3 linked regions of the Arabidopsis thaliana genome follow. The protein of the gene in region 3 interacts with the protein of the main gene of each other region in a pairwise test. Each region holds a gene or a part of one and is shown on either strand. Other genes may lie near its edges.

Evidence for each region. The genes of interacting proteins can lie anywhere in the genome.
Region 1: the proteins of AT1G14990 (region 3) and EMP1 interact in a protein complementation assay, tested with the Arabidopsis thaliana proteins (one large-scale study listed by BioGRID).
Region 2: the proteins of AT1G14990 (region 3) and AT2G33250 interact in a protein complementation assay, tested with the Arabidopsis thaliana proteins (one large-scale study listed by BioGRID).

Annotation. Positions count from the first base shown.
Region 1 is NC_003076.8:3,422,743-3,432,005, reverse strand, and holds EMP1 (Endomembrane protein 70 protein family), read left to right. Parts: upstream 1-4,108; 5' UTR 4,109-4,208; coding exon 4,209-4,346; intron 4,347-4,826; coding exon 4,827-4,991; intron 4,992-5,093; coding exon 5,094-5,203; intron 5,204-5,298; coding exon 5,299-5,410; intron 5,411-5,493; coding exon 5,494-5,606; intron 5,607-5,686; coding exon 5,687-5,837; intron 5,838-5,938; coding exon 5,939-7,096; 3' UTR 7,097-7,318; downstream 7,319-9,263. Other genes in the region: CM2 (chorismate mutase 2), read left to right, coding at 494-580, 664-807, 894-986, 1,076-1,315; CBSX3 (Cystathionine beta-synthase (CBS) family protein), read left to right, coding at 1,864-2,124, 2,205-2,286, 2,372-2,445, 2,527-2,587, 2,691-2,833; AT5G10830 (S-adenosyl-L-methionine-dependent methyltransferases superfamily protein), read right to left, coding at 7,357-7,992, 8,126-8,275; AT5G10820 (Major facilitator superfamily protein), read left to right, coding at 8,840-9,263.
Region 2 is NC_003071.7:14,093,248-14,100,696, forward strand, and holds AT2G33250 (uncharacterized protein), read left to right. Parts: upstream 1-4,121; 5' UTR 4,122-4,206; coding exon 4,207-4,611; intron 4,612-4,936; coding exon 4,937-5,431; 3' UTR 5,432-5,504; downstream 5,505-7,449. Other genes in the region: XID (myosin XI D), read right to left, coding at 1-49, 155-281, 368-405, 519-620, 714-771, 1,081-1,182, 1,273-1,419, 1,504-1,640 and 8 more; AT2G33255 (Haloacid dehalogenase-like hydrolase (HAD) superfamily protein), read left to right, coding at 5,548-5,881, 6,273-6,315, 6,407-6,467, 6,593-6,727, 6,947-7,111.
Region 3 is NC_003070.9:5,164,086-5,171,582, reverse strand, and holds AT1G14990 (uncharacterized protein), read left to right. Parts: upstream 1-3,318; 5' UTR 3,319-3,431; coding exon 3,432-3,550; intron 3,551-3,703; coding exon 3,704-3,785; intron 3,786-3,880; coding exon 3,881-3,997; intron 3,998-4,058; coding exon 4,059-4,088; intron 4,089-4,178; coding exon 4,179-4,229; 3' UTR 4,230-4,552; downstream 4,553-7,497. Other genes in the region: AT1G15010 (mediator of RNA polymerase II transcription subunit), read right to left, coding at 1-368; scpl50 (serine carboxypeptidase-like 50), read right to left, coding at 1,636-2,970; CPN10 (chaperonin 10), read left to right, coding at 4,929-5,033, 5,120-5,259, 5,602-5,653; AT1G14970 (O-fucosyltransferase family protein), read left to right, coding at 6,666-7,046, 7,236-7,305, 7,410-7,477.

The DNA of each region.
Region 1 (9,263 bases), on a different chromosome or scaffold from region 3:
CTAAAATTAGATACAGAGATATCAATGCTTCGTTTGATTCGGTTTTGGTATAGCATTGTTTTAGATTGTTCCATGAAATTAGCAGAAAGTAAGCTACAAGTCAACTTGATTGAGGTTTTAATAAGCCTGGATTCTTGAATTAGCATGCCTTTTGTTTGCTATGTGTCTCCTCCATTGCAAAAGATGATAACTTGGCTTTGCCTGTATAATCTCATTGTGTGATAACTTCTTGTTTTGATTTGAGTGCGAATCTGCCAATAAAAGGCTCCGACTTTATCATATGTATACGAGATTTCCTTATGAAAACCTCATTATATGTGGAGATTGGAAATGGAGGACTATTGTTTTCTATTTTTATAATGTCTGAAAGTCTTATTTCATTAATATATTCATCTCATTGGTTTATATATATTCTTAAGTTTCTGGATATTGAGCCTATATGTTTGTTCATTGGTTTACTTGAAAACCTTATGTGTATGTGTATATTATATAGGTAGGAAGATATGAATACCCGGAAGAGAATCCTTTCTTCCTTGAGAACATTCCTCACTCGGTTTTTCCTACGCACAAATATCCATCGGTATGTATGTAGTAAAGTCTTGAGCATTTTTCTTAGAACTCTGAATGCTTTAGTCTAACAGTACTTTTCTTTCTCTTGATTAGGCTTTGCACCCTAAGGCTCTATCTGTTAACATTAACAAACAAATCTGGGATATTTACTTTAAAGAATTGCTTCCTTTGTTTGTCAAACCTGGCGATGATGGCAACTATCCATCAACTGCTGCTAGTGATCTCGCCTGTTTACAAGTAAGGAGATGATTGAGTATACATAACAAAATCAGCTCTACTTTTGGCTAATGATGTCTGATCTGATATGTTTGATCTTGTGTAAGGCTCTTTCGAGAAGGATTCACTACGGTAAATTTGTAGCTGAGGTCAAATTCAGAGATGCTCCACAAGATTACGAGCCTGCGATTCGCGCTCAGGTAAACTTAGTGTCACATTGTGGATTCTGTTTCACTGTGGTTTTAAAATGATATGATTCACACCATAATCGTTTGATTTTCGACTGTAGGATAGAGAGGCTTTGATGAAGCTGTTGACGTTTGAGAAAGTAGAAGAAATGGTTAAGAAGAGAGTGCAGAAGAAAGCAGAAACGTTTGGACAAGAAGTAAAATTCAACTCTGGCTATGGCGATGAGAGTAAGAAGAAGTATAAAGTGGATCCATTGCTTGCCTCTCGCATCTACGGGGAATGGCTTATCCCTCTCACTAAGCTCGTTGAGGTTGAGTATCTTCTACGTCGTCTCGATTGAATATTATTTGTATCCAAATCTGGCCCTGTTAAAGTGGGCCTTAAGTTTTTAAGTGGGCCTGTTGATATTTGTCAGGATATGATAGAATAATTGAATGAAGCAACACAGTCATCACTATTTTAAATTTTGTAAGATATTTTAAGGAAAAGAAAAAAGTCGCCAGTATTTCGCTATCGAAAATCGTTTATTTATATATTTGATGATTATCCATTAGAGAACCCTTCAAAAAACTCTCCACTCAACTCTCTCTGGTCAGCTGTCTCTTCCCCATTCTCTAGGGTTTTCAAGCTCAACCTCAAGCTCCACTACGATCTCTTCTTCTTCTCTAATCTCAGGTCTGAATCTCTCCTTCTTCACTATCTCTGATGCTTTTTACTGAATCTGATTGAGGAAACTTTCCATTTTAGGATTTGTTGATCAAATACACTCGGTTTAAGAATTAGGATCATTCTCTTTTCGATCTAGTTTCATTAGACTCGTTCTTTTAGCTCTTGATTTTATAGATCTCGTTTTGAGGAACTGATTATTTGGTTGTTGACAGTTGAAAGATGCAAGGTGTGATTCGATCCTTCGTCTCCGGTGGAAATGTTGTGAAAGGCTCTGTGCTGCAACATCTCCGTGTGATTAACCCGGCGATTCAGCCTTCTGTGTTTTGTTCACGCTCTGAATCAACTCAACCTGCACGTATGGAGGAATCTGGATTCGAGAGCACAACTATTTCCGATGTCATGAAATCCAAAGGCAAAAGTGCTGATGGATCTTGGCTTTGGTGTACTACTGATGACACTGTTTATGATGCTGTTAAATCCGTATGCTTATACTACTCTCTTTTTCCTTTTTTAGATATCTCGATGTGGATTTGGAATTGATTGTGTTTGATTTTGTTTAGATGACACAACACAATGTTGGTGCCTTGGTGGTTGTGAAACCTGGTGAGCAACAAGCTCTTGCTGGTATCATTACAGAGAGAGGTAAAATTAGATCTAATCATTAATAATTTTTTTGTTGTGTCTTGTGGTATGTGTGATTCACTTTTCGGCATTGTGATTTCTCTAGATTATCTACGGAAGATCATTGTGCAAGGGAGATCATCCAAATCAACAAAAGTTGGAGACATTATGACTGAAGAGGTATGTAAATGCACGATTGTACGATTTTTTTTTTGCTTTTGTGGATTGAAACTGACTGGATCTGTGAACTGGCAATTGCAGAATAAGCTTATCACTGTGACACCGGAGACCAAGGTCTTGCGTGCTATGCAACTGATGACAGGTAAGCAGACAACTTGATATTTTTCCACTAAAGATACAAGCTTTTGGGTTTAAAACCTACTGAAGCAAATAAAAATGCGGGTTTGTGTTTTTGTAATGTACAGATAACCGAATCAGGCATATTCCGGTAATCAAAGACAAGGGCATGATTGGAATGGTGTCCATAGGAGATGTTGTCCGTGCAGTGGTTCATGAGCATAGAGAGGAGCTTCAACGCCTAAATGCGTATATTCAGGGAGGTTACTAGATCTTGAATAATGGAAAGAAAAGAGTTCCCTGTTGTGTCGTCTGGTCTTGTGCTGCTGAATCTGAAAAGCTTCCAGATCAGTGTAAATATGCAGTCCTCGTTGTTATTGTTGTTGTTGTTGTGTTTGATGTTTTGTGTTGTTTCGTTGTTTAACTTGTCAAAACTAAGGCCTTGTGCTGCTTCTCTTCTTGCGCTTACTTAGCAAGAGAATAAAACCAAAAACTCTGATCTCTTTATGAAAGATATGATGTTTGTTTTTGTTATCAAATCTTGCGTCAAGTATCCATGTGTGTTATGAAATAATAGAATTACTTTGAAAATTTGATTTCGGTACAAAGTTTCCGTGTCTTTGGACCATGAAAAATATCTTAACAAGTAAACCAATTCTTTGAATACAAACAAGTAAACCAAGGCAAAATATAAAACGATAGATTTTCTTCAAATCAAATCGATTATGGTGTGGTCACAATATCGTCTCTCAAGGGATCAAACTCCGGTGACCAAGCTTGCACCATGAGATAGCGATCAAACGCCCTCCATGGACCTCCTGTCAACGCTGCCATGTATTCCTCCTCCGCTTCGAACCGAATCATGAAAAACTTACGAGGGAGATCCACAACAGACATTGCTCCTCGTGGTTTCCACATCTCTCGAAGCTTTCTACTTAATGCTGATATTGTCATGTTACGCCCGGGCACTTTCACGATCAAGCTGTTCTTCAACAAACCATTCATCGCCGCCAATACCTCACTGCCAATTGTTATCACTGGTTCTCCATCCTCACCATCAGGGAACTCCAGTGTCATTTGCTCAGACACAAACTCATCATCTAAGATATCATTCGGATTTAGGATACCACCTAAATGTCCCCCCACCACTTTCTTCACCCACGAACCCGGTGCATCAGGAGGGTCTCCCGGAGAATGACCTTTCTCTCCTAGGTCCGTCATGGTCACATCTTGCGTTTCAGATCTCAAGCCTCCGGCGGCGTCGCCCATTTTCTCTCTATCGATTATATTGAGACCACATTTTAACACAATCTTAAAAATGTATAGCAAATGCTTAAAAATCTTGATTGACTTTAATTAATCATGGTTTATCGGATTGGTTTATCCTAGGGTGGGCTTATCGAGTTAGGCCCATTGGTTATGTAGGCTTATAGCTCGTAGAAAGACTTCATGCGTAGTGACGTGGTGAATTATTAATGGTTGATAAGGATCAAACATAAACGAGCCAAACCGGAAAAATAAACCGGGAAGTATTAAATCACAATTAGAGGCGGGTCTTGGTCTCGAGTCTCGAAGCGTATAAGAGTCAAATACAACTGTAGCGTAGCTTCAGATCTGGTTATTTTCTTCCTTCGTGTGGAACAGCCATGGCTATGGAGTTTCTGAGGAGCAGTAGAAGAATATTGGAATCTTCTGGATGCGCGATCGCTTTGATTTTTCTGCTCTTCATCCATGGAGCTCACTCATTCTATCTCCCAGGTGTTGCTCCTCAGGATTTCGAGAAGGTAAAAACGTTTCGAATTTGTGCTTCTAGGCTTTTAGATCTGATTTGGATCTCCTGGATCTGCGTTTCGATTTCCGCTAGGATTAATCCGTTCTTGATTCCCGAGAAAGCTAGAGATAGTGAGAGTTGGAGTGCTGATGCACCGACTTTTGGTTTAGCTATTTTTCTAATAGAATTGGTGATTTCACTTCATTTCCGCTTCACTAATCTCTCGATCTGAACAATGTAGCGTCTTAGGCGAGCTATATCGATATTTATTCTTCTGGATTAGCCTTATTCGCTGTAATTTTGATTACCTTTGTTAGGTTCTTAGTGATCTCTCGCTCTTGATTCGCTTGCCATTACTACGAAATCCAAGTTATGGGTACAAGGGCAATGTCGGTCCTGCATGTTATATGACGAGTCTCAATCAAAGTAGACTTGCATGTTTCACTTCAAAATCATATTCAAATTTTGAGTCTTGTTTTCTTGTATGTTGCAGGGTGATGAGCTGAAGGTGAAAGTGAATAAATTAACTTCCATAAAGACTCAGCTTCCATACTCGTATTACTCCCTTCCTTTTTGTCGCCCTAGCAAGATTGTGGACAGTACTGAGAATCTTGGAGAAGTGCTTCGGGGTGACCGGATTGAGAATGCCCCATACTCGGTTAGTCTCGTATTCAATTTTTAATTTTGTAATTCATCAGGCTGTCAAAAATATTATGTCTGTGATTTAACTCTAACCCTTGCGGGGCTGAAACAATTGCAGTTTAAAATGCGGGAGGCACAAATGTGCAATATTCTCGGCCGGGTCACTCTTGATGCCAAGACAGCTAAAGCGTTTAAAGAAAAGATCGATGATGAGTACCGGGTCAACATGTAAGACCAAATACAGGCACTTTTCTTTGATTATTTGTATGAAGAACATGCTTTTCTCTGTCAGTTTTATTATAAGTGTTTCTGGTCTGTGTTAGGATCCTCGACAACCTTCCTCTGGTTGTTCCAATTGAAAGAGTCGACCAGGGTTCTCCCTCTGTTGTTTATCAGCTTGGTTATCATGTTGGTCTTAAAGGCCAGTACGAGGGGGTAAGTAGGTTTTAATTGTTAAGACACTAAATGGAATTCATGCTAGATCGTTCGATTTTCTAATTTTGTTTTTGCATACGCAGAGCAAAGAGCAGAAGTTCTTTATGCACAATCACTTGGCATTTACAGTCCGCTATCACAGAGATATCCAAACTGATGCTGCAAGAATCGTGGGATTTGAGGTTAAACCTTACAGGTGCAGTTCTTGTTCATAATTTGAATGTCTCTTGGGATCCCCTGTCATTCAGAACTGATATTCCCTCCGTTGATTTGTAGTGTGAAGCATGAGTATGAGGGAGAGTGGAGTGAGAAGACCCGTCTGACGACTTGTGATCCTCACACGAAACGCCTGGTCGTTAGCTCGGCTACCCCTCAAGAAGTTGAACAAAAGAAGGAGATTATCTTCACATATGACGTCGATTTCCAGGCAAGTTTTTTCTTAAGTAATCTGCGGTTTGTGTCTTAAAAAAATTTCATGAATTCTTGTTTTCAATAGTTTTTCTGATTTCCTCTTCTGTTTCTGTCCAGGAAAGTGAAGTGAAGTGGGCATCTAGATGGGATACTTATCTTCTGATGAGTGATAACCAAATCCACTGGTTCTCTATCGTCAATTCTCTGATGATCGTCCTATTCCTATCTGGTATGGTGGCAATGATAATGCTGAGGACCCTTTACCGTGACATTTCACGATACAACGAGCTCGAGACTCAAGAAGAAGCTCAAGAAGAGACAGGATGGAAGCTTGTCCATGGTGATGTTTTCAGACTTCCTACCAATTCTGATCTGCTCTGCGTCTATGTTGGAACAGGGGTCCAGTGTCTAGGCATGGTATTTGTCACAATGATCTTCGCCATGCTCGGATTTCTCTCCCCTTCCAATCGGGGTGGTCTGATGACTGCAATGCTCTTGCTCTGGGTCTTCATGGGACTCTTTGCTGGTTACGCCTCTTCACGTCTCTACAAAATGTTCAAAGGAACAGAGTGGAAGAGAATCGCTTTCAGAACAGCCTTCTTGTTTCCTGCAGTTGTGTCAGCAATCTTCTTTGTCCTAAACGCTCTCATCTGGGGACAGAAGTCATCTGGGGCTGTCCCCTTTGGAACAATGTTCGCCTTGATCTTCCTCTGGTTTGGCATCTCAGTTCCTCTCGTCTTTGTTGGGGGTTACATTGGGTTCAAGAAGCCAGCGGCTGATGACCCAGTGAAAACCAACAAAATCCCGAGGCAAATCCCAGAGCAAGCTTGGTACATGAACCCGGTTTTCTCAATCCTCATTGGAGGAATCTTACCGTTTGGTGCAGTCTTCATCGAGCTCTTCTTCATCCTCACATCCATCTGGCTCAACCAGTTCTACTACATCTTTGGGTTCCTCTTCCTCGTCTTTGTAATCCTCATTGTGACTTGCGCCGAGATAACCGTAGTACTCTGCTACTTCCAGCTTTGCAGTGAGGACTACCTTTGGTGGTGGAGATCATACCTCACATCAGGCTCATCAGCTCTCTACCTCTTCCTCTATGCCACGTTCTACTTCTTCACAAAGCTTCAGATCACCAAACTGGTCTCTGCGATGCTTTACTTTGGGTACATGCTCATCGCCTCCTACGCATTTTTTGTGCTCACAGGAACAATAGGGTTCTATGCTTGTCTCTGGTTCACAAGGCTCATCTATTCCTCTGTTAAGATCGATTAGAGGATATGATGATCATCATGGCGATTAAGGAAACAAAGAAGAAAAGGTGATCATAGTTTATCTTATTTTTCTTTTTAAAATCGGTTTTGTTGCATTTTAGGTTCTATTTTGTTGCATACCAAAAGAGATTTTAATATATGTAATAGAGTGTATTTTGTTTGATTTGTCAAATAACAACACTTTCTGAGAATTTTTGCAATATAACCAATTTTTATAAATAAACTCAAATGAGAACAACAATCAATCATGGTTTGGTGATATCAAACTCTAACTTTTCCTGCAATCATAAAAGCTTTGTAAACGACGGAACGAACCAGATCAGAACCTCCCCAAGCGGTTTCAAGCTCTCTCACCAAACTCTCCGGTAACAACTCGACGCCTTTCTCTCTCGCCGTGACGATGGCCGACCATGATTTAAACATCCTTATGATCCCTTCAAACGACGTCGTTTTAGGCATCTCCAGCTTTAATGGCTCCCCTTCTGATCCCATCCCAACATTTTCGAAAGGAAACGGCAATGCTTCGTACGAATCGAAGATGTGCTGAATGTACGGATACTTCCAAAACGGCAGCGTTGTGGCGTGGAGCCGATACTGGACGGCGTCGAACTCTGGACTCACTATGACGTCGTTGTATCCCCAGACAGCGATGATTCCGCCTGGTTTACGGAGGAGTCGTGTGGCCACTGAGTAGAACCTAGGGAGATCGAACCAGTGTACGCCTTGGGCGACCGTGATTAGATCCACTGAGTTTTCTCCTCCGATTAATTCCACTAGCTCGTCGTCGGTCATTGACGTCGGCGTATGGCGATAATTGATTTTCGGATGTGGCGTTGCTAGCTTCAGCTGCGATTCACTCACGTCCGTTGCTACGACACTCTCGTAATGCTCTGCAACCTGCAAAATGGAGGCGAAATTTGTCAAATCCAAGATCTGATGCATGTTGTTGTGATCATTTACGAGCAAGAAGCTAAATCTGTTAAATCTAAGTTTGAAGCTCTATAAAAATTTATGAGCATCAAATACTGACGGCGAGAGCTGCTTGGCCATTTCCGGTGGCAGCATCCCAGGCTAAACCGTGGTGATCGGTGAGATCAGCGAGCTTCGAGAACCACTCAGAGGGGTAATTAGGTCTGGCGTCAAGGTATAGATCGGCTTGTTTATCAAACAATCCTGCCATTTTCTCTCTGTTTTGCTTCTTCTTTTCTTTCTCTCTTTTTTCTGATTAGTGTCTAGCCATGACTCTCTAGTCATATATAGTAGTCTTTTTAGCTTGTGGGAATCTCAAAGATAATGACCTCCAACGAAGCAGCATATCGCTTTCCTTCTCTATTTTTTAATTGGATTTTGAAGTAATTGTTTAGGTGTTTGTTGATGTTGATTAGGATTTTTGAGTTTCGGTGGGAAGATGAAACATTTGACTTTCTCTTTTTGCTTTCAAGATCTGTCAATCATACTATCGAGTTTGTGAATTTTGGCTAATAAAGCGATTTGGTTTCGTTTTTGTAGAATTTCAGACTGGTAGTTGAAGAAAGACGTCATTGCTTACAAAGTCAACAAGGTAAATGTCATTGTCAAGTGGGAAACTTTATAATATATCTTTTGTTTTTCCTCGTGTGTGAATGTCTAAACCTTTTTGAAAGTCTAAAAGGCATTTCCTTTACATTGAAAATAACGATTAAAGGCTCTTGCTCTCGATATTTTGATTTCAGATCCAATGTTCATCTCCTAAACAGTCAACACCATGGAAACACTAGAAACTGAGAAATTCTTCTCAGACGATAAACCTCTCCTAAAACCAATTTCAGATCATTCTGAGATCAAGACAAAAGCAAGAAGAAACGCTGTCGTCTCAGTTCTAATTCAGCCCTTCCAATGGTTACAAATGCTGAGTTCTAGGCTAAACCTGAGCTTCGTGCTAGGTGTGGTCCTTGTGTACGGTGTAAACCAAGGGTTCTCTGGTTCGATATTCAAAGTCGTCACAGACTATTACTGGAAAGATGTCCAGCAAGTGCAGCCATCGGTTGTGCAGCTTTACATGGGGTTATATTACATTCCATGGGTCATGAGACCCATTTGGGGTCTCTTCACCGATGTGTTCCCTATCAAAGGTTACAAAAGAAAGCCGTATTTTGTAGTTTCTGGTGTTCTTGGTTTGGTATCTGCGA
Region 2 (7,449 bases), on a different chromosome or scaffold from region 3:
CAACATAATCTTTGTTCTTGTCTAAAAATAGTTCAGTCTGATAAGTGACCTGAAGTTGAACATCAATACAGTCATTACACCACATTGACATTTTTGCCATTACTTAAAGACAAACATTTAAGCACAAACTTCTGTAGTAAATTAAATCACTAACATCACCAGCATAATGGCAGATGGTAAAGTCTGTACGAGCCAATTTTGGCTTGGTAAAACGCTTGTGGCTACCAAATGTCTGGTATAGCTTTTCTGCAAGTGTATCATGTGTTGATCTTGGGAACATACTGTAGAGGCATACACAAACTCAGCCACTTATTGAAGAAGTAAAAAGAAATCAGTGAAGAAAGAACATGACGCTTTGGTACATTACCAAGCCTCATCAAGAAGAGCAATAATTCCACCAGGTTTCTGACATTGAACAATTCTGTATTAGGTGCTAGAAATCAATAAATATGTATGAAACTGGAACTGCTAGAAAACGGAATAAAGATTCCAACACCACTCATTGTGATACTACTTACCTTTTCTATAAGGTCAAGGACATCTTGATTATCAATGAACTCTATGTAACTCCAGTCAATCTCTTCTTTAGTATATTCTTCTTGCTCCATCTTGAACACATGCTGTAGAAGAGAGGAACATATGCATGAATATGGATCAGCATAAAATTAGATCAATCAAGAATCAAAAATATGAAAAGAACCTCAGTCTCCAACCTGATTGAAATGCTGCTGCAGCTTCTCGTTTGTCAGGTTTATACAAAACTGTTCAAAACTGCAAAATGTGAAAAGAGAAAGACAACGTTGTAATTGTAACACAAGCATTAAAACTGCTATCAGTTGAACCATATAACAGCTAGGAACAATCAATTATGAGAATAATAATAATATTGTCCCAGACCAGAAAAAAATCTCTAGCTAAGTAGCTAAAACTTAAGAAATCCAATAACAAACCATCTGCTCAATGTTTGAAGAAGACTAAATCAGAGAGCATATAGGCAGCCATGCAGGAAGCAGTATAGGGAGTTTATAAATCAACTCGAAAAAGGAAATTGAACATTTTGGTAGCGTACCGGTTAAGCACCTGTTTGTCTTGAAACTCTCAAATCCATAAATATCCAGGACTCCAATTATGTACTTAGAACTTGAGTCTTGGCCAATGGAATTATTTATCTTAGTCACAAGCCTGGGAGCAATAAATTTGTAAGCTTTCAAAACTTTATATCCCAGGATTGATAATAAGCCCTTAAGAAAGAAGCCGTTATTGTAAACCTACCAATCAAACAATTTAGAATAGACAATCTTGGCAAGAGCATCTCTGCTTAGTGCTGCACTACCGGGATCAAGAGGCTTTGTAATGCTTTCACCACGAGTCACCATCACCCTATTGCACAAGGAGTTCTCTAGAGCTTTCTCATCACACCTACCCAAAAAAGAGCAATCAGGGTTCTACCTCCCATTGACAAGAAACCTGTAATCCGAGAACACATAATAGTGAAGCATATACATGAAAAGTTTTGCAGCAACTTTTAGATGGAACCGGGATTTATCGTCCTTGGGTTCTGCACCATCTGATTCTTCGCTCTTTGCAAACTCAATGTTTCCTAGATGAAGGATAGCAGCAACTACCCGAAAGATTGCATCCTACAAAAGTAAAATGTAAGAAGAGTTATCCTCATTGCTGATCATGTCAATGAAAAAACAAAAGGTACCTGTTCTTCAGGACTAATTCCAACAACGTCCATAGCTTTCCTCGTAGCTAGGTATTCTTTGGAATCATCAATTGCATCCAATGCATGGCAATTCGATTGATTTAGGTAGTGAAATGTGCTTGGTTTCCCTAACTGATACCGCTCAGTTTCCTGAAATTTCAGAACAGAAGCTAGTTTTCAGTATGAATCCCATATATGGCCAAGCACTGGACATACAGAGCCTTCATATGTTCGACCTGATGTAAACATACAAGGGACCATGTTTACCTGTTCTGGCGCAGCGCAAAGCATGTAAAAGCAATGATAGTTTCTTTCAGGATCAGAAACTTGACAAACTCGTGACCTCTCCAGCAAATATGTTCTAATAGCAGCTCCTGAGATTCTTCCCATATGATTGAACTGAATCTCCACAAATTTACCAAAACGACTGCAATATGAGATTTGCCTACATATGTCAAGGTTGACTTCAAGAACATACATAAACTTGAAAAATCAAGAAATGTGAATGACATTCCACCTTGAATTATTGTTTCTGACGGTTTTTGCATTACCAAAAGCTTCTAAAACTGGATTTGACTGCATAACAGGATCATAATACGAGAAGAATAAGAAGATATCTACAGAGAGAAACTCAGTGAGTCTGTCTCTAGTAAGAATGTAGATGCATTGTAAACAGACTATCTACCTCCAAAACTTGCTGTTCGACAGATCGTCCTTCACTCTCAGCTTTTCCACCCATGTATGCAAGATATTGCATGAGCATTTTTGTGCTCTCTGTCTTCCCAGCACCGCTTTCTCCACTCACCAAGATCGCCTGGCTTACTCCCTCGTTGATCATTTTTCTAAATTTATATTCTTGATGATGGTGAGGCCCAAAAAAAAATGATAGTGCAACATTAGTTAAAGTTTCATCTATGCAACAAAAGATTACCTGTATGCAGAATCAGCAACAGCAAAAGGATGTGGGCTTAACTCGCCAAAATCTGTGCCCTTATATTGCTCCATTATCTCATTTCCATATAGGTGGGGTAATCTTTTAAAGGGATTCACAGCTATCAGTATATTCCCTGTGTATGTCTGTAACCATCAAGAAGAAATTAGCTTGCTACAAACACTTCAGAGAAATATTAATGATATTGCTATAACTGTGCAGTAATTTTCAGCAAAACAATGGTAGAGATAATCATAGAATTCATAAGTGGGTGTAATGAAAGAAGGAAAACTGACAAGAGTTACATGCTGAAGCGTACATATATTTCATTTGCATTGTATCTGGCTTTTAGATTGAGAAGAACCCCTGGTTCATGCAAATACGCAAGCTTTGTCATGTCGTCCACACCAAGCTCAGGAAACTCAGGATCCTTGGGGTGGACAGCATTAACCTTTGCCACAACCTACAAACAAATGCATCACAAATATGAGCAATGTATTCTTAAGGTACCTTAAGAACTAACACATTGTCTCGTTGCTTTGGAGAAAAGGGACTAACCGTCTTGGTTTGGCAATTAACTTTGATCTCTTGACCGTTAGCTTCCACAACTTCTCCATCTAGCCAGGCTTCATCTGGATCTTCCACCCAGACCTGTGACCCCACAGTTACCTTCACTGAAGCCTGATTAAAGTAGAATATATTAGAAACAAATAAAAAAAATATTGTCAAGCTTCATTAGCTGGTTCTTTTGTTCTCTTTTAGACACATCTTATAATGAAATCTAAAATGTAAGGGGCAACATAAAAATCAGCTCAAATAGCAATTATGGTTACAGAAGATAAAAAAAAAAAGGTAAAAATGAAGAACACGGAGAAATCGCAATGCAGATAAGAGAAGAGAGACTCGTACCATTATCACGGCCAAATCTGGTCTGATTTTCCTAGAAATGATCCCGAATAAAGATTTCCAACGGGAGAAACATTAGAAAAAATCCCTGAGAACCCAATCAGCTGGTGTTTCCACACCATGGATCCAAACACCATAAATCAAACACAAAACGCTTCTCTCTCTCTACTAGCTTCAAAATCTCTGATCGACGTTATAAATGCGGAAGATTAAGACTACATTCACGTTTTACGGACGATATTTCAAATTTCTCCGACGATTACAGAGACCTTAAACCCTTCGGCTTTTGCCTTCCAATATTTCCCCAGGAAAGCTGGAGATTCTCGCAGAACGTAAGAAATTTTCTCGCGTTTTCCCTCGGAATATTCTCTCCTGGTTTTTTTTTGTTTTTGCCTTGTTTGATGCTTCGTCTCTCTCTCCCTCGTTTCTGGAAAAAGGAAGAGAAAAGAGAATCCACGTAGGCGTGTCAGGTCAGACATTTGATGATCTCGAAATTACCCCTGCAATTATACCGGATTTCAGTTCTAACATTTCTCCTGGACCAAGCCGGTTTATAGTATTCGATTCTAATGGAGGAGATGATGACAACGTGGCGCAAGTTGAGTGTGTCTATACATGGAGCAGAGCATTTTCTTCACTGTTCTCGCTTCGCCAGACGTTAATGGCGGATAGAGGAGCTCTTTCGTTACCGCGAGCTTCTACTTATCTTAGTTTCTCAAACCTCCATGTCTGGCGATTCCACAACCCTAGATCTTATCCTCCCTCTCGTTCTCAACTCCTCTGTTTCTCTTCCTCATGCTCTAGAGTAACTTCGGCGAAGATAATTCAGCTGAACCGCCGGAGATTCAGCTATAAAATATGCGCCGCCGCTGATGACGGTAGGGGATACCGTTTGACGGAAAGGGGAAAAAGGGGAAGGAAGCGGCGGGAGCTATGGGAAGAACTTTTTGAAGATAATGTTGAAGACGATGATGATGAAGATGATGGTGGTGGTGGAATTGGTAGTGCTAATTTTGACCTGTGGAAGATCTTAGAGGAAATTGTAGATAATGTTTGGATTTTAAAGGTAATTAGTTTCAATCATGCATCTTTTAAGCCTTAATTATGAAATTAGCCGGGAATCTACTACTGCTAATTGAAAATGCTGATTGATTAAAGTATCAAAATTGTTCTTTGGTAATGGTTATGGTGATCATGTAAGAAACAGTTAATATCGTTGTGTAGTGAATCTGAACTAGTTTTGATTTCTAACTAGATAGTGTCTTTCTGCTCAAAGATAAGAGAAACGGCTTTGTTGATATATAGCTGCATTTTATTTGCATACACCAGATTTTGCTCTCTTATTGTTGGTGTGGGATCTTTATTGTGTTTGGTTTATGTTCACTTTGTAGGCATTCAAATCGTATGGATATCTCCTCCCATTCATCATCTTATCGCTTTTCTTCAGCACCGGACCCAAAGCTTTCCTCGTGTCACTAGCCGTAGCAATCGGGCCATCATTGTTATTTTATGCGTTCCAGAAGTTGATTGGTTGGGATAAACGCAGAGGTACATCAATAGCAAATCAATTCGGGATAGAGGAAGAAGAAGAAGAAGTGGAGAGAAGTAGTAGCAGGATTCGATACAACCCATCAACCGTTAGAAACAATGTCAATGGCCGTGGAGTTAACCGTAGTTCAGCTGGAATGGCTTCTAAGTTTGGTGGGTGGGACGAGTTAGACGGGCTTGGTACCACCATTCCCGAACGGCCAACAAGCGAACCGAAGAAGAAACCGTTACCGAAGAGGAAGAGAGTAAGAAGAGAAAAGGCAGCAGAACCATTATTGTTGAGATTGTTGGTGTCTTTGTTTCCATTCTTAAGCACATACACAAACATGCTCAAGTGAAAAACCACTAAACCAAAACAAACCAAGTTGTTCAAATTAAACCGAACCGAAATTGGTTAAAAATAGAGAATAATTATGAGCCTCAATTTCAGTTTGAGCATCACCATTTCTTTTCCATGACTTTCCTCTTATCAAGAACATTTATTTCTCTCACTCTCAGACCTTCTTGTTCGATTTCCATGGCGAATTTAACGACGAACGCTAAAACTCGCCTGAGAGGTGTTGTATTCGATATGGACGGAACCCTGACTGTTCCGGTCATCGATTTCGCCGCAATGTATAGAGCTGTTCTTGGTGAAGATGCTTACAAGCGAATCAAAGCAGAGAGCCCTAGTGGGATTGATATTCTGCATCATATTGAGTCGTGGAGTCCTGATAAACAGCAGAAGGCGTATGAAATCATTGCTGATTATGAGAAACAAGGAATAGATAAGCTTCAAATCATGCCTGGTACGGATTCATCTGCTTTATTTTTTTATTTTTGATTTTGTGTTTGCGCTGAGGAAGTGTTAAGGATTTGGGTTTTCGTCTGATAATCTATCGTAAAATGGGTTAAAGATTGAGAATTTCGTAGAGTTAAAGATGAGAAAAGATTGCAAATTCAAGGCTGAAAGATAAAATGAACATTTGTTAAAAGTGAAGACTTTATGGTCTAACGGAGGTTTGACTTTTGTCTTAGAGCCCCACATCACGATTTGAGATCATTCCTTTACTGGTCATTGACTTTATGCTGTTGAGTTCTATAAGATGATTTAGCAGTTGAAAATCTAGAAGGAGTACTGTGTTTCTTTGGCGTTTAGAGGTTTAATTCTCTTCTGATATGTGATCATTTATGTGGCAGGTACTGCTGAACTATGTGGCTTCCTTGATTCCAAAAAGATAAAGTCTGTGGTTTTCAGATACTTCTGTCTATGATTTTTTGTTTTCTTGTTCAGATAACTTGACTGTTGTTACATTTTGTATTTTACTTTATAGGAGGGGGCTAATTACACGCAATGTTCAAAAGGCAATCGACATCTTCCATCAACGTTTTGAGGTAAGAATGTTGAATTGAAGACATTTTGACAGCTGCCTGAGATAGGTTTAGCTGGATCATTCTTTTTTTTTTATCAGAGAGAAGAAATCTGAGGCAGTTCCTTACAGTTATTTTTCATTGTATAGGTTATCTTTTCTCCAGCACTAGGCAGAGAGTTTCGTCCATATAAACCAAACCCAGACCCGCTGTTGCATATATGTTCTACATGGGACATCCAACCTAATGAAGTCATGATGGTTGGTGACAGCTTAAAAGATGATGTGAGTGACAGACATGATGACAAGCCTTTGGTCAACCCTTTCTCCATAGCAAATCGATAAGCAATGCAATGAAAGAAGCTTAAACAATGGATCTTCTCATGCCATTGCTTAAAGATTTTCTATGTGGAAAGGATGCCTACCAACTTTTCAGACTATTTTTCTCACATCTTTACTGAAGATTACAACTGGTAATCGATCTTTCTTTTCTCGATTCTGCAGATAGCATGTGGGAAACGAGCTGGAGCCTTCACTTGCTTGCTAGATGAAACCGGAAGGTATGGACCAGACGATTTTTCTGTTTCCGGTCTGCAACCTGATTTTAAGGTTGATTCCTTGTCCAAAATCCAGAACCTATTGGAGACGAACTTCGACCTGAACCCGTAGTTTTTCCAAGTTCCTCATCTTGTAGTTTCAGTGACCAAATTAGTGTCCTACTCAACACAGTATCTGTTCAGGATAGCCATAAATGTCAAACCACGGAATTCTATGCACTGGCTATCTTTAAGTTGCACAATTGTGTCCCTGCATGGTCGTCTAGCGAACATGTGTGTGAGGGCAAACATTGTTGTTTGTTAAATCCAAAATTTCAAGATTTTTAATATCATCTCTAGTCTCTGAATGGCTGAATCTGTTTCTTAGTAAGTCTTCCAACAATGATAGATCTAGTGTGAAATGTGATCCTGCTAAGTGAAAAAGACTTCTCAATCGCTATTAGTGTTTCT
Region 3 (7,497 bases):
ACGGCGGAGGAGACGGGAACGCTGACGAGGAGAAGAAGACACGTTCCAAACGCGACGCTGGGACGAGAGTTCATGAGAAAAGTTTGGAGAAGAGTGAGTGCATCACATATAGTAGCGTCGTAGTTGCAGTAGAAACGTTTCTCCCATTGCATCCAATGAGAAGGAGGTTCAAAGTTGCGTTCAACCATCTTCATCTCATGGATTCGTTTCCTAAGGACCACCATGTTCTCGTCCACCGTTCTTCCTCCTCTGTAGTAGTCTGCACACACGGTGGTGGTTCGTCTTCTATTGGTTCCGGTGGCGATTCTTTGTGATGTCCTCAATGGATGGAACCTGAGTGTCGATGACGAGATCAGTATCATTTCCATTTTCTGTTGCTTAGGAGACACAATTGGTGGGATTATTTATAAGTTATATTTGGATAATATTTAATAAAAACGGCTAAGGCTGCTTTAGCGCGTTACCTTATCGTAATATTGATGGGGTCACCATCGATCACGTTTCCTTACAATTTCACTTTTGTTTCTTCTCAATTTCAGCTTTACACGTCTTTTACAAATTTGTCGACACGGCCAAATAAAAAAACATCAAACATGAAGCTCCGATGAAAAAGATGGATCGGTGTTAAATTGGAGATATCATTAAATGTCAATCCCATTAACGTACTATCCTCATAATTTATCAACCAATAATTATATGTACATTGACCTCTCCTTTGTTTACATCCAAAAAACGTACGAATCAATCCATATGATTAATTAAGGAATCATGGGGTACTCTCATACTTAACATTAATTTAAGAAATAATGGTGAAGTGATGTCTATTTTTTTTGTTTGTTCTAACAATGGTGAGGTCAAACGATGGACATAGATTATACACAGTAGCCCAATGGGCTTAATAGTTACCTAACTCTGAACCCAATTTTTTCTCGGCCCAACTAAAAGGATTATCGTCCGCCCTAACTCTCCTAATTTCGCACTATAAAGTTGCGAGTTTCACAGGTTTTAGCAGGAGCCGTCATTAGGGTTCCAATGAATTTTGTTTCAATTTTTCGATGTTCTGAATATCATTCTCTCAACAATTAGGCGAAAGATTGATTTTCATATGATTAGTAGTTTTCTTTCTGTTTTCCGCGAATGTTTTTCCGAGAAAATTGAATCGGGAAAGAGGCAAAAAACAGGGGAGAGATTTTGATAAATAGCTCTGAAATACCTGTAGGTTTTCTACGGGGTGCCCTTGCTCTTCTTTCCCTAATACCAAAATGGCTTCATAGTACGGGTTTCTTTGTGCTTTCTCTGTGTTTTGTGTATTTTTTATACTCAAATCACTTTGAATCTCATTCACAATCCCGCCTCCAATCGCCATTACATGTTTTTAAAAATTCTTTAGTTTATGCTTCAAATCTCCTTATTCTTACCAAAACAGTTTATCTGAATCAATCCTTAAGTGTATACTGTATGCTAACTTTTTTGAGAAAGTTTAAGACTTCAGGAACAGGCAAATGATAAACTAAGTAGCAAAAGTTACCAATTCGTACTAAAATGAACTTGTGAACATGACGTAACAAATCTAAATCCAGAGTACAATTAGAATCTGAATTGAATCTTACAGAACTAAGTACAAGTACACAATATTTAGATTGAATGGTATAAGCTCGACGAAGTTGTCTGCTTCACATCTTTACCACCGAACAATCCTTTCCCCAAAACCCAACCTTCAATCATATCCCTTGAATTCACAGCTTTATCTGTCGGAACAAAATGACCAGCTCCTGTAACCGCCACGTGGCACAAATTCCCCCATCTCTGAACATAACCAGCGACCACACCGTCTTCATCCTTCCACACACGCCTCTCCGCCGTCGAGAACATTCCCAATCCTGACCAGTTCATAGTCTTCATCCACTCCTCCGTCGAAACGACGCCGTCTCTTAGATCAAGCATACCTTGATACAGCAAGACTTGAGTCCTCTCCAATGCGTACTCCACCATGAACTTTACGCTCTTCATCACGTCTGCCCGCAACACATCTTCTACTTCATCACTACATTCCTCAAAACGAACCGTTTCACTCACTCCCAAAACACGTTTTGCTTCTCTCTGGTTCAAGAGGTCCACCACGAGGTCTGTTCTGTATGGAATCGCCCGTGCCGTGTTGTAGAGCGTCGCGAGTCCTGTCATGTTACTTAGTAGCGTCAACAGTTCGGTCCTCGCGTCTGCTGCTTCACGCCATTTCTGGGACTTCACGAGAGCTACAGATATCTCCTGCGCTTTTTGCAGTTCAACTCTCTGTTTTGCGTTGACCAGACCCGAGTAGTAGACGTTGACCGCATGGGTTTGAACCTGGGTCACCGGGTCGGTCAGCCCGTTTCCAATGGCTAGCCCCTTTAGATTCACTTTCCCATTGGGTTTCTCTTTAAGGATATAGTATCCAATGGCTGGAACGTACTTCCCGGCGTAGCTCTCTCCAGTGAAGTAAACCGGTCGGTTTTCGAAGCTTGGGTTTTGTTCAAGGAACTCCACGAGAGCGGCGTAAAGATGCTCAGCGACCTGTCTCTGATTTGTGGGTATGTCTTGTTGTGAGGCTGCGATGCTGAATCCGACTCCTATTGGGTTATCCACAAAAAGTAGTCCGAATAGACGGTTCCATGCGCCGGGGTTGCGCTCGAGGTCTGTGGCGCGTGAAACTACACGCCAGGGACCGAGCTCGTAAAAGTTGCCAATCATTGAAGAGCAGCCTGGCCCACCTTGGAGCCAAACGAGGAGCGGAGTGTCAGGAAGAGGTGTGGTTGGCTCTTGGGCTTCGTAGAAGGCATAGAACATGGACGAGCCGGGTGCGGGTTTAACCGGGAGGTAGCCAGATTTAGTGGGGAGAGCTTCATCGGGAAATAGCGGTGGCTGAGGAGACTCAACGGAGACGGCGAGGAGGAGAGTGGAAAGCAATATGAAGAGTGTAGTGGCTTGCTCCATTATTTCCACTAATTGGTGACGCCTTTACATAAAGATCCCTTTGTATTATTTCATTTATTTCATTATTTGACTGCAAAACATTACGTTTATGTTTTGTCTTGTATAACATGTGAATTTTTAAATGTGTAACAATAACATTTTTGTCAAGACGTGCTTGCTTACTAACCTAATTGCATTAACATGTGAGTTTTTTAATTTAAAGGTTTTTGTTTGTAGATGATTTTCCATAATGTATATTATTTTAAATTTATTGTTGCCAAAAGAAATAAAATCTAAAAGTTTTATTGGGCCGAAAAGAGAAAAAGGTCAGATAGGCCCATAAAAAGTTGGACAATACAAAGCGTTTACAATTTGTCAATTGCAAATTTCGTGAGATGCTTCTTCTACTCGTCATCTCTGTTTGGTAAAGTGATCACAAGGTGTTCGATATAATACCTGAAAGAGTTTCCGAAGGTGTGAAGATGATGATCTTGGATGTTTGCTCAGAGGTTATAAAGATCCAGAAGCTACGACGGGCTGTCTCTTACGCCGGATTCTACTGCTTCACTGCTGCCCTCACATTCTTCTATACAAACAACACGTAATGTCTTTCGTCCGATCTCAGTTTGCTTCTTTTGGTTGTTCTTTCTTTTCAATATCGGAATTCGCAGATGATTTCAATTTCTGGGTTCTTCTCTTGGTTTCTGCTTCAGGTTTAATTTGATTTAATGTTACTGATTCGAATGTTGTGTAGAACAAGAGCAGGATATTCCAGGGGAGATCAGTTTTATGCATCTTACCCTGCTGGCACCGAACTTTTGACCGACACAGCTAAGGTTTGTCCTTGATGACAATTTTGAGTTGTCGTTTACAGTTTATATAGTTGATTAGTTCTGTGTGGAACTGATGATTGGGGTTTATTGGAGTAAAGCTGTACAAAGCGGCGCTTGGGAATTGCTATGAATCTGAAGATTGGGGTCCTGTTGAATTCTGCATAATGGCTAAGCATTTTGATCGCCAGGGAAAATCTCCATACGTTTACCACTCCGTAAGTTTCTTCAATCTCTTTATGATAATCTCTGTGGTGCGGATATTTTAGTGTTGTAAAGGTCAGTTTCCATAAGTCTAGAATCTTGATGGTACTGACTTTGTGGTGCCATTGATAGAAATGTTTGTCGAATCATGTGGGGTTAGAACCAAGAATTGAGCTCATTTTATTGTGAATGCAGCAATACATGGCTCACCTTCTATCTCAAGGCCAACTCGATGGAAGTGGCTAGTGGCGCCAGCTCTCTTTGTTTCAGCTTTGTGCCTAATCTTGTTATAGCAAATTCGAATCCTGGTATCTTGGAACATTTGTATGGTGTTTGTATAAGTCCGGAACCGTACCATTGGCTTACATGGATTATTCAGATTTGTACTCTGAAAATTAAGAGCATGTAATTCCCGCAGAGGCACAATGTAATAAACATATAGCATAGCAAAGCAACAATCCGGGGAAAAACTTTGGTTACCACCTTGAAAGAAATGGGGAAAACTGACAGAGCAAGAAGCTTTCCATCATCAGCAGAGACGTTTGATAAAAGAAAGGTCAAGATTTCATTCCACGAAAAATCTGCCGAAAATAAACATCTCATTCTGGATGTGGTATATGAAATGGGATTGTACATGGAGTTTGAAAAACTTGGCAAAGAGAATCATGGAAGGAACTAACCATTTGAGCTGCAAGGTCATACAACACTTCCAAGAATTTATTTAGACAAACACAAATGCGACTGGTTTTTTTTAATGAGTGAGGCCCATTAAAGAAATAGTATGATATTATAGGCCCAAACAATCCCAAAACCCTTGGCCTTTTTCTGTCGCGCTAAACCCTACGATCTAGAACCTTCCGTCTTATGTGTCTCTGCCCCAAATTAAAAACTCAGAAACCCTAGAAAATTCCGATTCATCAACTGAGAGAGAAGAAGAATTGAGAAATGATGAAGCGTCTGATCCCAACGTTCAACCGCATCTTGGTGCAGAGAGTCATCCAGCCCGCTAAAACCGAAAGCGGCATTCTCCTACCTGAGAAATCCTCCAAGGTAAAAGAGCTTTGATTTCACGATTTGATTCTTCTGATTTTCGCCTCTTAGATCTGAAAAATAAACATATTTTTGGGTGATTGCAGCTGAACTCAGGCAAGGTGATAGCTGTTGGACCTGGATCAAGGGATAAGGACGGGAAATTGATTCCGGTCTCTGTGAAGGAAGGCGACACTGTTCTTCTTCCAGAGTACGGTGGTACACAGGTCAAGCTCGGCGAGAACGAGTAAGTTAAACCCGCTTCTTTCTTATTATTGCCCTAATATTCTGATAAAATTCTGATCTGATCTAATTGAACCTTTATGTTTAGCTAATCATGTTCAGGAATCATTATCCATTAATTAGATTAATGGATGGAACTAAGGGAATTACTTGTAAGACTGTGAAGATATTGAAAATTTTGTAACAGAGGATTTAAAAACATTTTGATCAATGTTTAATAATGCCAATTTGAACACCAGATTTACATATTGATTGGTGGGTTGATTTTAGAAACGAATAAGAAATTACAAATGAAGAAGAATTTGACTCAAAGTGAGTAACTTTTGTGTTTGTGTGATGGACGCAGGTACCATCTCTTCCGGGACGAGGATGTTTTGGGAACTTTGCACGAGGATTGAAAAGGCTAAGCTTGCCAACTTAACCACGAGGGTTCATGTTGGTGTTTGTGTTATGAGGAGAAGTCATTTATAAATTAGTTTATCTTGAAGATGTGGTTGGACTTTGTTGTCGTTTATCATTGAATCTACCTTTATGAACCTGTCTTTGAATTTTTACAAATGGGCATCAATCACATGGATAACCCAAGTGTTGCATCTTCTCATTTTGTGCTTTTCCGTAATCTGTGGATGCTTTTCGTTTACGTTTAGGCAGCAACTTCAATAGCCAATGTAGACGATAGCTTAGTTGACTTTGCTTATTCATGATCATGCTATAACAAAAGAAATAAGCTCATTTGGCCGCATGGCTTTTTTTATATAGCATCTCCTTCTTCACATATTGACAACTGAATCAGGTCGAGAAGTAGGTCCATGTCTATGCATTCTGAAAGTTGTGTCTTTTGATTTCCTTTTCACAATGGTTGGAAAACTACTAATTTTGGATTTTCAGTTGTTTAACCCACTCGTTTGGATGATAAGACAACTGTAGTATATTGTCTTGTCGCACCTTCAAATTTAGTATAGGTTGGTTGATTGAAAATATTTCATCTTTCTAACCAAAAACTGAAAAATGTGTATGAAACTCATTGCTATTTTTGGACAAGTCTCTCTGCCAATACAAATTAGACCATACGTAGAAACCGATGCATTGAATTCTCACGTTTAACAATAGTTTTCCATAGAAACTGAAATCAAAGAATTGAAGAAAGAAAAAGACTAAAGAACTATAACACATAAGAAAAGCCAAATAAATACTCAAGTACATGTGATTAATCGATCATGCTTCCACCGCACGAGCGCATACATACATAACATAAATAAAATTTCTCTCTCTTTTGCTTACTTCACTCACAGTTTCGCCGCCGGGATAAATCCGTTCAATCGGCGTTTGCCACCTGCCATTGTTACAAGCAATGCATTATATCGTTAATGGCGTAGCGCATTGAGAAGAGAGAGAGAGAGCAGGGAAACAATGATTTCCCAGGTGGAGAGAGATCTGTCGATTCAAAATCGGCTTCCGGGAAGCGATCACACTACTCCTTCTCCGCCAACATCTCCTCATCTCTGCCGGAGCCGGTCGAAATCCTCCTCTGTCTCCGGGCAACAGCAAAGTCGGAACGTCGCTCACCGTCTCTCATGGATCATTTTATCTGTTCTTCTCCGGCGTCAGGGAATTCTCCTTTTCGCTCCTATCATCTACATCTCCTGTATGCTTTTTCACCTACACGCGGCGTCGTTTGATGCCTCTCCCATTATCCACCGCCGTCCTGCTCCGGGATCCGTCTACCGGAGCCCTCAGGTTTACGCTAGGCTTCGCGGCGAGATTGAAGCCGATAATACCACGGCTGATGCGGTGAGGTTTGCCTCCGTTTTATCCCGCTTGTGATATCGTTTTGAGAATGTGGCCATTGTCGAACATAGATTGATCCAATTAGAGTATAATATCTAGGAGAACGTATAACAATGTTGAACATAGATTGATCTCTGTTCTTTTCTTGTTCCCATTTGTCATGTATCGTCAATGCAATTGTATTCATTTAAGATATCAACAATTTGGAAGCGTTCCTATAAAGGTGTAGAATGGAAGCCATGTGTGAACATGTCTACTGGAGGTATTTTACATTGTTCTCCTAGTTTCTTCGTTAGTGTTCTTTGTCCTAAGTAATAAGTTGAATCAATTAGGCTTTCTTGTTGTTGTTTGTGTTAACAATTGTAGTTTTACCTGTGTCAAATGGTTTCATATTTATTGAGGCAAATGGAGGCTTGAATCAGCAGCGGACTTCGGTAGGTTAATCATCTTACAT